2 linked regions of the Mytilus edulis genome follow. The protein of the gene in region 1 purifies or fractionates together with the protein of each later gene. This does not show direct contact. Links are inferred from orthologs where the notes say so. Each region holds a gene or a part of one and is shown in the gene's direction. Other genes may lie near its edges.

What was found. The genes of interacting proteins can lie anywhere in the genome.
Region 2: the proteins of GTP-binding protein 128up-like (region 1) and N-terminal Xaa-Pro-Lys N-methyltransferase 1-A-like purify together in Homo sapiens (affinity purification with mass spectrometry; 3 studies listed by BioGRID and IntAct, counting the BioPlex papers as one, with this or other methods). This does not show direct contact. The link is inferred for Mytilus edulis from reciprocal best matches to the Homo sapiens genes DRG1 and NTMT1.

Annotation. Positions count from the first base shown.
Region 1 is NC_092349.1:11,807,639-11,815,516, reverse strand, and holds the start of GTP-binding protein 128up-like, read left to right. Parts: upstream 1-4,862; 5' UTR 4,863-5,008; coding exon 5,009-5,047; intron 5,048-7,878. Other genes in the region: eukaryotic translation initiation factor 4E transporter-like, read right to left, coding at 434-507, 1,297-1,405, 4,780-4,862. UniProt on the Homo sapiens protein: Catalyzes the conversion of GTP to GDP through hydrolysis of the gamma-phosphate bond in GTP. Appears to have an intrinsic GTPase activity that is stimulated by ZC3H15/DFRP1 binding likely by increasing the affinity for the potassium ions.
Region 2 is NC_092345.1:945,802-953,633, reverse strand, and holds the start of N-terminal Xaa-Pro-Lys N-methyltransferase 1-A-like, read left to right. Parts: upstream 1-4,830; 5' UTR 4,831-4,872; coding exon 4,873-5,022; intron 5,023-7,832. Other genes in the region: kinesin-associated protein 3-like, read right to left, coding at 1-62, 2,147-2,278, 4,470-4,501. UniProt on the Homo sapiens protein: Distributive alpha-N-methyltransferase that methylates the N-terminus of target proteins containing the N-terminal motif [Ala/Gly/Pro/Ser]-Pro-Lys when the initiator Met is cleaved.

The DNA of each region.
Region 1 (7,878 bases):
AATATTTCAATAAACAATAGAAAGTGATTAAAAAATACAGCTGATTTTTACAGAGTTATCTCCTCAGTTGTAAAAGCAGAGATTCTGCATGCAAACAACTATTGTATTTTAACATGTGTAACTACAAAATTATTTTCATATCAAGCTTCTAAACTGAGATTTATTTTTAATTTTTTTAATTGCAGAAGTGAAACTACCTTTTGCTTCAAAACCCATATATAGATCATCAATGCATTTTTTAACATGTTCAATGACTTCATGGTAAGGCTCATTGTTTAAGATTTTAAAATAGGGGTCAATACATTTAATATTAAAATGTAACTAGGGGTCGTTGTATTTAAAATTGGTGTTGGAGGCTCTTTATTACTGGATATGGGTCCTCCACATAAATGGATTTAGAATAGCTCTAACATTAGAAGTAAATACTGCATACTTATCATAATCAGTAGACAAACAAACTGGTCTTTTCTTTGCTGTTTTACTGTTGGCAAACTCATACAACTGGTCCTGTAAAATCAAGATACAACCAATTACAATGTATCATTTTGTTTTCAAAAACATGTACCAGTAAAGTATAAATAGGAACATTGTTGGTGTTAACAATTTGAAGTAACTTTTAGACTTGACAATAGAAATATAAGAAAATATAGTTATATATCGTATACAAACATAAACAAATAGATTATAAATGAACATCAAAAAAAGTATGGCATGTTAAATTTCATTAATATACTGGTTTCAAACTGGATATTGAAGGATTTCAGGTTTTTATATGATATGCTTTTACAATAGTAATTTTAGGGGACCATTTATAGCTTGCTGTTCGATGTGAGCCAAGTGTCTGTGTTGAAGACCGTACCTTGATCTACAATGGTTTGCTTTTATAAATTGTGACTTGGACATGTTGGATGGACAGTTGTCTCATACCACATCTTCATATATATCTATCAACAACTATCATGCCCTTCTGTTTTCATCCTAAAAATGAGTTTCCTAGAACACATTTTTGTTAAATTATCAGCCAATGTGTGAAGTACATGAAGTATGACTACGGAACCTTGACCCTGATGATGTTTCCAAATACCCTCTTATTTGACCAAGTTTCTTGTCAAGACTGCAATAGTTTTTCTTTTACATTGTTTTGCATATTGTAATACTAAAGAGTAAATACAATGTATTGTGTTTTGATGCAAATTGGTCTGGCAGTTCTGTACTGCGACTCTTCTGAATTGTTTCTTTCACAAATGGTCAAAGATTACCATATGTTAGACCTCAGATGTTCCTCTAACAACTTACCCTACTGTAGATATATGCTGGTGTAGGTCCAGGTGTATCAGACCTTGTCAGAACAACCTCTCTTGGGGTATTCCTGCCACTGTCATCAGAATTAAATTCTTTTTCCATTCTGAAATAATAAACATTTTACAGTCACATATCTCTCCACAAAAAAATTTATTCATACAGAAAATGTCTAATGTTACACCAGGAAATCAATTAAATATTAAAGTCAACTGATTAGCCCTCCATGACCAAACTATCAACCTACTATGAAAGTTTGCATTTAGTTAATGCTTTACATCATCATGATCATAATGCTTTTGACATGGAGTCTAGCATGCTATATTCAAAGACTGGTTACAAAATGTATGTCTTGAAAAAGAAAGCAAAAGATACCAAAGAGGCATTCAAACAAAATTGTTAGTCAGTAGGGCCTTTAAAAGCTGACTATACCCTATAATATATATGTTTTTTTTCATTATTGAAGGTGGTACAGTCATGACAGTTGCCTATAATTGCTTACATCCACATTATTTAAAACTCTTGTGGATAGCCATTTTCTTGGCCACAATACCACCTTTAATCTTTAAATTGATGAATCCATGGCAAAACATGAAAAAACACAACATAGACAACCAAAGAATAAGCACATGAATAACTGATACTGGTTTCATCAGGGATCTCCATGGCCTGTTTAACGATGGCACCCCGCCATCGTTCAAATGTCTTGCGCCATCGTCAAATGACTTGCGCCATCGTTAAATTGTCTTGCGCCATCGTTACATTGTCTTCCGCCATCGTTAAAAACTTCATCGTTTTTTGCAGCCCGACGCCATTTTTTTTTCAATTATAATCAAATGCATGTAATTGCATAACCCTTAGGCTTTTTATGTTATAATCCAATACAGTTCTAACGCCTGAGGGATATCCGGATTAAGATCGCTAATCACTTGTACCTGAGCTTGTACAGGTAGATCAACAAACCACACAGGAGAATACTATCTGAGGAAAGACGATCCATTTGTCGAATTAATCAACTAAGTTTTAGCAAATGATTATGATAATTTAGATTAAATAAAAAAATTAATAATCCAGTTACAAAGAAAACAGTTTAACAAGTCGAACACGTGCTTTATTTTGACTTACGTAATCAGCATCCCCCTTTTTTTAATTAGAAGTACAAAATAAGACGCAAAACAGTAAATATTATTTCATTGCAAATAACTTGAATACTAGTACTGCTGTAACGATAATTTAGAATTACTTTAAAAGTTTAAAAGTAAAAACTTAAATATTTCCTGTAAAGAAATATCGTATCGTAATTCCGAATTCATTTCGTATATTACAATCAAATTGATACATCCGCATTTCCGGTTTCTATTCAGACTCGAAAGATGCATGTTGCACAGCATCAATTTGACAGATAAAGTCATTAAAAACGTTTTCATTTGTCAATGTTTGCTTTACAAATCTCTTTAACCTTTTACATAACCCGTACGAATCGTTTTGTTGTTGCTGCAAATCAGCCATACCGGTAATGGGTTCTGAATTTCTGAATATGACAACTGTCCATGAAAAATAAGCTCCACATCATTTGATTTTTAACCCCCATAACAATTACCAAAAATACAAGAAATCTACATGGGGACCTTCATGACAGCTTTTGGTCATTCTCGACTAAAGGGGGACCACGAAGACTTGGCATTTGAATGGTTAAAAACGGCAATAAATGAAAATATTGATACTTCAAATTCTATAATGAAAATTCAAATAAATATAATTTAAATAAGCAATGATTTAGCATGTTCACCATTCCTTGTATAGAGGGATAAAATACTTCAGATCGCGCTACACTATACAGCGTAGACACGGTTTGTGATATGAAAGTTCCTCCATCGTTCAATTTTCATCCATGGAGATCCCTGTTTCATTATAACTAAATTCATCAAAATACAATGGGAAATAATCGTGATAAACTACAGACCAGTAAACTATGAAATTCTTCAATTTGTACAGGTCTGTTTTAAGTTTTAAAAGACTTGTATATAATGCTGATACTAACGTAAGTGACACAGGTTTGTGCTGAGGTACATACGTAAAAAGCGAAAAAAAATAACTGAAGCCCCCAACCAGGTTTGGGATTTTTAATCTGTCATTTGTCTGTGTTGAAGACCAAATGTGGCCATGGGATGTTTTTTTGTTCTTTCGATGAGTTGTTGTCTCTGACACATTACGTTTCCATTATCAAATGTATTACATTTATGTAATAAGGATTAAGGTTTATAAGGGCAGGCAGACTTGCCAAATATCCTGTTACATCAACACATTTCGCTTTTGCCATATTAGAAAATTGTTTACTACACAGAACTCCAAAGGGATTATTAAAAGTGTAATCAGATTATTTCCTTGATGATGATGAGGATGATCGATCGATTGCTGCTTAACGTCCAGCGGCATGATAATAAGCATATTTAGGAAGGGAACATGTTAATAAGAGAACATGTTAATGTAATATTAAGATTTACCCTGCTTTGTATGTAGACCGACACATTGAGCCAGATTTTTAACGTGCTAGCTCTGAAGGAATGTCACTTAACCAGGACACATTATTTCCACCAGTCTCTGCTCTTATTCTTAAATGCAGCGTCCTTAGCGGAGAAGAAGCAAATACCAATTTTAAAGTGTTTGGTTTGACCCGGCAGAGGTTCCAACTCACAACATCCCTCACTCGAGGCTAACACTCTACTATGACACCACCAAGCTGTTTACTCCGTTACAGAGGATAAATAGCTAAAAGTTAAATAGCCTTTAACAGACATGACAGATTGGCAAGGTAAATTGTTACTTACTACTGATAAAACTATACTTGGGTCTTTCTTGGAAAGACATCATTTGAAAACAGTCGAAAGGTTTTCTGTAACCCAATATTATATTTCACTTACCATGCTAACACAATTTTATACTAATTTAGTAATTAAATTTGTAAACAATTTTAGACATTTCTTAGTATCTGAAATAAATCGAAACGGAACAATTAAAATGATGTAAGAGTCATGTCATTACAACAAATCAAGATTTCCAAAAAGATTGACTTTACACAAAGAGGGAGAACAAGAGTATAAGTGCATTGTTTTCATCTCTGTCGATTTTTGATTGATGGCTTACCTTCAGCAGGGCAGAGCCCCGTTTGTGAAGTTTTACACGAAAGACAATACACAACGAAAATGTTATATAATAGGAAACTAAAGTATATCTAAATATGGTCTGGTTAACTATAATGTCGCCCTAATACACGCTGAAACAGATGATACATAGTCCACTTTTGAACGGTTGCAGTACAACATCGGAAAATGTTGGAAATCGCCCGGATACTTGCATGCGCAGAGCAAGATTGACCTAATTTTCATTTCTAAGGTCAAATTTTGCAAAATTTCACCAGTAAATGCAATTATTGATTGAATAAAAAGAGAGAATAAATAATATGCCTTCTTGCAAAAGCACCTCTGATTTGAAATGCACACGCTAATCTGTCTCCCAGATTTTTTTCTCGATAAAAGTCGTCTCACAGACTGCTTCCGGGTCATTTACTTCATTTGGAAATCTTTAGATTTTTCCATCGACAACCATTCCGAACGAACCAAAAATTACAACACATTTCCCTCAGTTTTGTTCAACACATTTTCTCATTTTTAACACTTTTATTAATTGAGACTTTACAGTAAACTTCAAAATGGGTATATTGGAAAGAATATCAGAAATTGAGGCTGAGGTAATATGAGTTTTTGGGCTTTGTAAAACTTCTGGAGTACCCCTTTTTTCATTCATTTGATACCATGGCCATGGGCATGGTGAAATATTACCCACCCATGGAATGAAAAGTCCTATGTTTCTCAAAACTTTCTACTACCAATATGTGGGATAAGCCTTTGAACATGTTGAATACGCTAGTGACATATATGTCCTGTGGCTGTGTTGATAGACTACGTTTGCTAGGAATGTCAGATAAATAATTATACCATATTATGCATGGGGTTTTGCGCTATTTAAAATGTATTGTCACATCTCCATTAAGGATATGATGAACAGAAAATATATGATCTGATGATTTAGTGCCTTAGATCAAGAACATATATATTGATGGGACTTGACTCTATCTAATAATAGAGGATTTCATTGTCGCGTCATTTTTTTTGGGTAAAAAAATAACACGATATGTAAATGAAAATGTGTAAAATATGAAATGGCTATTATCTTAATAATATCTAGTAATATCAAGACATGCCATTCAAACTAGGTAATGAGTGAGGCCAGTGTATTGAACTTGATTTCTGTCACTTCAAATTTGTCATTTATATAATCGAATTCATTTCATCACGGAACTGAATGCAAACAGAGTAATAAAAAATGGTGCAATGGCTTCACAGTAACTGTGAAATTCACAAACCAATATAAAGATCTTTGCATCAGATAAATCACACTTAAATGTATACTGCTTATTTTATATGACAAAATACATTGTATATCTACTTGAAAATAAAACTTTAATTTGTTGTATATTTGTAATAATGTGGTTAATTTATTGAACATTCTCAATGGTTTTGCAGTCAGACGCTTTCAAAATCCATCAATCTCTCGACATACTCAAGGTCGCAGGAAGTTTGGGATTTGATCAACTTTACACTGAAAATCCTATCAGATTTATTTCCTTTTAGATATATATATTCTGTTCCCAGCTTTAATTAATACACCATATATATCTTTGTCTGCCATAACTGGATATCACATAGGTTCCTTTAAATTTTAGTATTATTAAATATGGTGACCAATAACTTCTATGAATTTTATCTCTTTAAAGTTGTCTAATTCATGTCATTGGGAATGATTGCAAATAGTCTTATTTTTTGGTAAAGTGTCCTGAAATCAATTTTATGTTATCATGGTTTTGTTCTAGTTTATGAACTATGGTCAGTTTACTTTATTCTGATGACCTGCAGCCCTAGTGTGCCCAATATCACATGGGCAACATCTCGTTCCTTTTCTAGTTTAATTAGGATCCCATCAAATTATACTAAATTTCTTATTAATCAATTAATAGCAACTTATAAGAAAGTCTTGACTCTTGTACATTTTGCTTGAATTTGTTAGAAATACCTAAAAAATCTTCTGAAATATTTTATTTAACTGGTATTCATATTTAATATTCTCAAGGTAGTCCTAGCTAATTTATTTTAGCACTTAGCAGAGTATACACAATTTGATTGTGAAATAAGATTAGACTAAAAAAATATTATTTATAAAATTACAAATAACAGAAGGAAAATATTAAGGGCTATTCCAGAAAAAAATGTATGGGGGTGGGGGTTGGAAGGCACATTGTATTAATAATACATGGGTGATGGGTATCAGAGCAACTTTTCACACTATAATGCACTATAATTCTCAGTTACAATTGTCTGGGTGGCGTGTGCTGACAAAAACTGCCTTCCAACAACCCCCCCCCCCCCCCACCCCCTACATTTTTTTCTGGAATAGCCCTAAGTCATCTTGAGCAAATCATTTATTTAATTAAAATGGCTTAATTCGTGTATTTTAAAATAAAAATTGAAATTGAAATCAAACTAAAACTATCAAAGACTAAAAAAGTTTAAGTGTGTATAGGAAAAAACTCTTATTTTATTCCGAACATTTTTATTTCATTAAGAATAACAACAGAATAAAGAAATCAGCTATTCTTAACACAAGCACTGACTAAAAGAAATTGTTTTCTAAATAAAATTAATATTTAAACATCTAATTTTATAATGATTAATGGAAATAATTTAAAAAAAATATATGATTATATTCAACATGTTCAAACATATTTTTAAACATTTATATCTGTAAAAATATAATTGCAATTTAAAATAAAACTAGTACATGTTGGTGACATTCAGTTATTATTTGATTGTATTGTGTCAGTTATGTCGATAATAATGGTGTCGTCCTGTAGCAGGTATTTTCTTTGTAGCTGTTTTGAAACTTGAGAAACAGAACAGACATTTTGTTTATATAGATTAGACCGTTGGTTTTCCCGTTTGAATGGTTTTACACTAGTAATTTTGGGGCCCTTTATAGCTTGTTGTTCGGTGTGAGCTAAGGCTCCGTGTTGAAGGCCGTACTTTAACCTATAATGGTTTACTTTTTAAATTGTTATTTGTATGGAGAGTTGTCTCATTGGCACTCACACCACATCTTCCTATATCTATGATAACATTTCATAACATTTCCCAAAAATTTCATAACCTCATTTTTTGGAAAATGACGCAGTCATTGTTCCATAACTGCCGACCTGATTTCTCTGCCTACCGCGCTTGGTTTCGTATTTACTAATTTCAATACAAACTGGAATGTGCTTGTGTTATCATTATGCATGAGCATTGTGTAGTAATCAGCCAGGAACCAGTTTACAAACTAACTGGTTTCTGTTTGTATTCCACTACATTCGAACCAAAGTGTTGTAGTTTGACAGGAACCAGTCCAGAATTTTGTAAACTACAAAACGTAATCGGTATATTATCATTCCGTTTTGGTGTTTCATACCGACTTATATGGTTTGAATAA
Region 2 (7,832 bases), on another chromosome or scaffold:
CAATGATTTCTTTTGCTAAGGTTGTCAAATCACTGCCTGGATTCAAACTTTTTACTCTGATTCTAAAATCAAAAATATCTTAATTAGACTCTGTTTCATGCATTTTGTAAAATCCCTGAAATTGTTAGGGATTTTACAAAATCACTGAAAATAGAGCTAGGGATTTTGTAAAATCCCTGATTACAATTAAGTATAGCATGCTATAAGAAATGTGTTTTTCTTAATATAAAGAGACCAAATGAATGATCACTTATGATTTAGAAATATATTTGTTTAACATGTTTAATAAACACTATGAGCTAGAACTTGTGTATAATGATAATGGCTAAAAGGCATTTAAACGGGTATTTAGACTGCTCTGAATTTGCTTATTTTTACAAGACAAGTTTGGGTGACATCCCTACCACTATAAGCTATTGATATGTGCCTTTTTTTTAACTATGCTGTACATGTCTTCAAGACATACATAATATTTTTAAAACATCTTCATCTGATGAATATCGTTTTTAACAAATTTTTTTCAAATCTTCACATTGAAGAACTTCATACCTTCATTATCAACAAAATATTTACTTTATTTGGATTAAAAGAGTTGAGAAATTTTAGAAACTTTTTCAAAGTTATACCACTTTGTGATAGAATACATGTGTCTGATAAATGACCAAAGTAGGTAAAACTTTGTTTATTTTTGCTTGGTTAGATTAACCTATTCACAAACATGCAAGTACAAAACAAAGAATTATTAATAAAATTGAGAATGGAAATGGGGAATGTGCCAAAGAGACAACAACCCGACCATAGAAAAAAAAAACAACAGCAGAAGGTCACCAACAAGGTTACCAATATTTTCTGTTGTCTTTTTTATTATTATTATTTTGTGAATATAAATGTTATTTTGTAGGCAGCAAATTAATAATACAACACTTATTTGCTTTTATATAACAATTTTCATGCAGCAATAAGATGCTCTTGATCTGATATTCATGTAATATTTGCCACTGGATCACATACCCGAACCCACTCAATTTCTTATACCTTACATATATATGTGTTTTTCTTCTTTAATGACAGCAATCAACCTAATGTTCAGTTTTTATATTTGATTTAAAAAAATTGATATAATTGGTTTTATTTTCTACAGAAATTATACAGAAAAACTATAGTAAACAGTAACTTCCTTTCAAACACGGTAGTGATAAGAGCTTGTTTTGTCTTCTTTCTGTGGCTCATTGACAAAATATTCCAAAATGTTTATCATATTTTCCCTGGTTCCATATGTTGCACTTTAATTTTACCTCAGTTATTTGAAGTAACTTTTGTGGGTATACATGTTTGCTCTTGATTTCAAGACATTTGTGCCTGAGCCATTGTTCTAAAGTATGTCACATTGTCAGTTGGTTTGTGCATGAAAACCGCTCACTTAATATTAAAATAAAGACTAGATTAACCTCATACATATTGAGTGTTACTGTTGTAGTCTTTTTTCACAGAAATTCTTAATAAAAAAAAACGAATGTATTTTACAAATTCCCTGAATTTAATCAGTGAATCTGTAAAAAAGATTTTAATTATTTCAGGGATTTTGTAAAATCACTAGTCAAAATCAGGGATTTTATAAAATCACTAATCAGTTCAGTGATTTTACAAATTCCCTGAAATTTCAGTGATTTTGTAAAAATCACTGATTTCACAAATTCCCTGTAACATATACATACCCATTAATGATATGGGTCTTTAAAACAGATGGTACTTATATATGATGGTTGAGTTTAACAAATTTTTATATGATTCAAAAATTCTCCTAACCGTACTACTAACATGTACATGACTAACTTATTTAAACAATTCTTAAAATTATGGTTACAATTATATTATTATACATGTCATTGCATGTGAAACTTTGAAATATTGTTTTGTATATCATGTATATATAGTATACATGTTATATGATTTTTAATGGACAACACTAACATGACTAATGTAATATTACTTATAAATCTAATTAAGAATCTGAAATCTGAATTAAAGTAAGTTACAATCAGACAATGAAGAGAAGGATTTTTAAGATTATAACTAAATTTATTTGTTTTTCTCATTGCAGTGACCATACAGCATTTAGAAAGTACACAAGAAAGTATAAACGTACATTTTCTGACATTCCTTCCTCTCCCCTAACATTGGATCTCCCAATTCTCCAAGTATTGTTGCCTCCAGTTCATAATTAACTACCAAAGCTTTTTCTGTGGGATGAACATCAATACTACTGAATTTTACTTTTCTGAAATAACAAAAAATGTTAAAATTTCCATTCTCAAATTTATTAAATTTCTTAGATTCTAATATACATGAAATATATTACACTTGACTGTTTGAAAGCATCATTTATGCATTTTCTCAAAATCTACGTCTTCAATCACAACTTTGTATTGAGTAATTCCCTGACCAACATGACAGGTGGTTCTTGTGGAGCTGAATCTGATTACCCTTCCAGAGCACCAGCAGGACCAGAGATCATCCCCCAATGTAAAATAGTAATAAACGTAGTTACATTTATATGTTTCTACCATGTTTACAGAATAGAGATGTTTTAAATGTAGACATGATAAATAGTTATAAATCATGTAAATAGTCTAATTTGGTAGGTCACAGTCGTGAAAAGGGAAGGGTATTGTAGTTACGACATAAGGAACATATCTGATATCATCTATGAAATGGTTATTTCATAACGGTCAACCAACTCGTGATGGCATCCGTAAAATTTATAAATTGATGATTTCAACTTCACCAGTCAGGTGACTTACTTAAACAAGTGATTTTCTAAATCACTGATTCAAGTAACATTATTTCCATTTAAAGGTTGGAAGTTAGAGTTGTCTTTCTTTAATAATCACCTATTTAAGTAGTACAAATTAATCACTGGAAGAAGTGATTTAATATTAGTGTAGCTTTAAATATAGAATACTAATGATCCAGGTACTAATTATGTTTCTAAACTTATCAGAACCAACATCTGTGTTGTCTAGGATGACCAGGTCATTTCAGGTGATGACCTTGTACTGAATCTTGGATAATGACATAAAAATCACTTGTTTAAGTATCAGACCTCAATTTCCTTCCCAAAAATCACTTCTTTAAGTATCATTCTTTTAATAACCCCCACTAATTTCAACACCCCTGAACAGAGAAATTGTTATCGCGAACAGTAGAATTTTATTACATAATCTGAAAGATGAAACCTTAAACTTCACAGGAAAAATACTGCCACTGCTGTGAAAAATCTTTGAAGAAAGTATCAGTTCATTATGTAAAGCCAATAAAAATTAAATATATTGTCTCTAACTATAAAAAAAGAAGATGTGGTACGATTGTCAATGAGACAACTCTCCACAAGAGACCAAAATGACACAGAAATTACCAACCATAGGTCACAATGACAATGAAAAACAATTCATACGAGAAAAATAACTGCCTTATTTATAAACAAAAACATGAAAAACATGCATGAAACAGAGTCTAATTAAGATATTTTTGATTTTAGAATCAGAGTAAAAAGTTTGAATCCAGGCAGTGATTTGACGACCTTAGCAAAAGAAATCCTATGCGTTTAAAATTTAAACAAAAACTACAAAATCCCAATTTGTGACAAAACCTCGAATTTGCTACTCTAATAAGTGATTTAAAAATCACTTATTTCAGTAAGTCCTCTTGGTTTAATAGCTATAGCTTCATTTGTGAGCAGTAATCCTCTATCAAGAAAATCATGATAGGAAATACAAGCCAGGGAATAACCTATCAATTGGGATATATATTCTCTGTATGCAGGTGCTGCTTGAATCATCAGAAATTTGCTGCATAGAAATGGAAAGTTCACAATTAGGAAGCTGAAATCATCTCTTTTGTCATAAAGTTTGTTTTCAACCGACCCTCATTGTCAATTTCTAGATGTAAGTTAAGATATGAGGCAGAATTAACTGTATCTGTAGTATCATGTATCTCTTGTTTGTCTTTGATGGGATAGATTTGTTCAACATACATTGTAAGTATTTAGATAAAATGCATTCCTTTTACACATGTTTTATATGATAAAAAAGTGACTGGTTTTGACGAAAACACATTTACTTTTTCTTAAAATAACAGTTACAATAATTATTTGAGACCTCGGACGAATCACAATTATGACGCTTACCATAGCTGAAAATGACTGTTTGAAGCATGACACTGACAGGAAAGGGCATTCTTACCCTCTTGACAGGACATTTTGATATCTTTCTTTGGCACCTATATATGTAGCACAAATAGTAATGTCATCTTGACATACTTCTGGCAGTACTGAGTACTGAATGAACGATGCTTAACCGTTAGACAAAAAAAAATATCCATAAAAATTAAATAATATTAAATAAATATGACAATATTTAAGTATGTGTACATGTAGATCAAATAACAAAAATCGTCTAAAAATCTCTAACCTTTTTAAGTATCTGGCCTCTTCGACTTGCATTTTGGACTATTCTCATTTGATTTTAAACACAAAACTACTGAAATTTTATTCTATTCGGACATCCATGGCAAAATATTTATGAATCTGGTTCCTTAATCTCTTGAAATCAGAAAATAGTATAACAAGTTCGAAAACCAGTTTAATATAGTCTTCAACCAAACATAATAATATGAATTACCTAAAATTACGAGTAAATAGAATAAATTTCATTATTATAAAACTATTTTGTTAAAAATAAATACACTTCAAGTTATTAATAGGTATTTTGAGAATAATCAGTATAGAGATTAAAATGTTATACTGGTTTCCACAATTTTTAAAAGAAAGCAAAATATCTATTCAATACACAGGAAACCAGTCTCCAGAACAACATGGATCAGGGAACAGAGAAATTTTACGGTGATGCAAAGAAACATTGGGAATCAATTCCTCCAACAGTTGATGGAATGTTGGGTGGATTTGCAAAAATTTCACCTACAGATATTAACGGTTCAAGAGAGTTTATAAGACCATTTATAACGGTAAATAATAAATATAGTACATATACATGTATAATTTTTATAAAACTTTACAAATTACATGTATTTCCATTATACATGTTACATATACATGTAGGACTCTAAAGTGCGATGGGGACGCTAAAGTGCGATGGTCACGTTAAAGTGCGATGGTCACGTTAAAGTGCGATGGTATTCGCTAAAGTGCGATGGTCCGCGAAAGTATAGACGTAAGAAACGTAGTTTGATTATGACGTTATCAGTCGTTTATACAAACCAAAAATGAACACGTCGGAAGATAGATTCAGAATATTTTATTAACAATTTTTACAATAAATGTCCATGACTTTAATACTAGTAATTTATTTAAACTTAACCGTTCTTTGTCGGCTGTAGCGCAATGTTTATGTTTTTTTCGAGTGCTGGAAGGACTTGTACTCTGTGTGAACAAATTTACTAAATACATACAAAACAGTCTAGGCATACTTATCCTGCTTCTATTAGAAGCAAATGGATACATTTGAAGCATTGTTTATGTGGCAGTTTACTTTTGATCCTCGTTAAAATGCTGTTGATTTTAATGTAAGATACGTCCGACGGTAAAATAGACATACATGTTTTTATGTGTGAATTATAAATTTTCTGCTTAAACATTTGTTTGTACTGTACATTGTAGGAAAATAAAACATGTATTTGTACTCGCTAAGAAAAAGGAGAAAGCTAGGCGAACATTGCCTTTTTCTCGCATTTGACATGATTAAAAGCTTATAAATAGAAAAATTATTGTTGCATATTCCGACAGTCAGGGGACTTACTGAAATAAGTGATTTTTAAATCACTTATTTGAGTAGCAAATTCGAGGTTTTGTCACAAAATGGGATTTTTTAGTTTTTTCAAAATTTTAAACACATATAGGTTTAAATAATATCTTTTAATTAGTAAAATTAAAAAATATGAACTTTTGGCTTCTTTTAAGTAGCAAGGTTTATGCCTTTGATGCTATCATTTAGCTGAAAATTCCATTTTAGTTGAAAAAATGCTATAATAATGGCTTTATTTAATGAACTGATACTTTCTTAAAAGATTTTTCACAGCAGTGGGAGTATTTTTCCTGTGAAGTTCAAGGTTTCATCTTTCAGATTATGCAATAAAATTTTACTGTTCGCGATAAAAATTTCACTGTTCAGGGGTGTTGAAATTAGTAGGGGTTATTAAAAGAATGATACTTAAAGAAGTGATTTTTGGGAAGGAAATTGAGGTCTGATACTTAAACAAGTGATTTTTATGTCATTATCCTAGATTCAGTACAAGGTCATCACCTGAAATGACCTGGTTATCCTAGACAACACAGATGTTGGTTCTGATAAGTTTAGAAACATAATTAGTCCCTGGATCATTAGTATTTTATATTTAAGGCTACAATAAAATTAAATCACTTCTTCTAGTGATTAATTTGTACTACTTAAATAGGTGATTGTTAAAGAAAGACAACTCTAACTTCCAACCTTTATGGAAATAATGTTACTTGAATCAGTGATTTAGAAAATCACTTGTTTAAGTAAGTCCCCTGACTGTCCGACAATGAACGAATTTTGTATTTATAATTTTTCAATGACGACTCTAAGGAAGGTTGTAACATTGGTGTGAACGACAATATATACCAATTATCCAAATATTCAATACCATGAATACGCTCCAAATTGTTAAAAATTCATTTTACATGAAATTTAATATTTTGCGACACATAAATTAGTACCTTTATAGCATTTATTACTTGGTTGAACTTGTTTATTTAGAAACAATCACTTAAGCCTACCGGAAAATTATGAAGCCTATCACATATGTTATACCTTAGCATACTAGCTTTTGCAAAACTTTTTTAACCTCGATGTTTTAACCCCTTGAATCTTACCCTTTGGACCATCACACTTTAGCGTGATACACCATCATACTTTAGCGAACTAACAACCAACGCACTTTAGCGTGAGACACCATCGTACTTTAGCGTAGACCATCGCACTTTAGCGTGACCATCGCACTTTAGAGTCCTACATATATACATGTAACTTAATAGTCAATCATGATAGAGGGGGGATAGGACCTTTATCAGGACTCCAAGATTTGGTGTTTTTAAGCTCAGGATGTCAGGATTCACCCTTTCGGTGTCCAGGAATTCTTATTTCGTGTATTTTGAATTTCGGGATATGTGGATTTAAATTCGGGATCTGGGGATTTCATGTTTTAAAACCCGGGATTTCAGGATCAGGACCCCTCCTACCAACACTCCGTCTATAGTACATGTATAACACCTTCATCATGTTCATATTTGTTTAAAGTTAGCAGTCCGAGAAGTACAAATGGACTCCTATTCAAAGTCATTTGACCCTTGTCAATCAATTCAGAATTTAATATTTATTTGCATTTTGAATGATAGAGGGGGGATAGGACCTTTATCGGGACTCCAGGATCAGGTGTTTTTAAGCTCAGGATTTCGGGATTGACCCTTTCAGGATCCAGAAATTCTTTTTTTCAAATTTCGGGATATCAGGATTTAATAATTTATTTTAATTCTGAACCTCAGGATTTTGTGTTCTATGCCTGGGATTTCAGGATCATCCTGATCAGGACCCCTCCTACCCCTCCTCATGAATTGTCTGTCCTGTTAAACTTTTGACATCATAATAGAAAACATCTGACATGTCTAACTCCACTATGGAAAAGTGATTGTTGTACTGAAGTCAATTGTTTGAGACAGATTTTTCTTTCGTTAGGCCAAATAAAAATATATGTGTACATGTGGTTCCAGTTATCCTACCGTCCCTACTTTTTCGGCT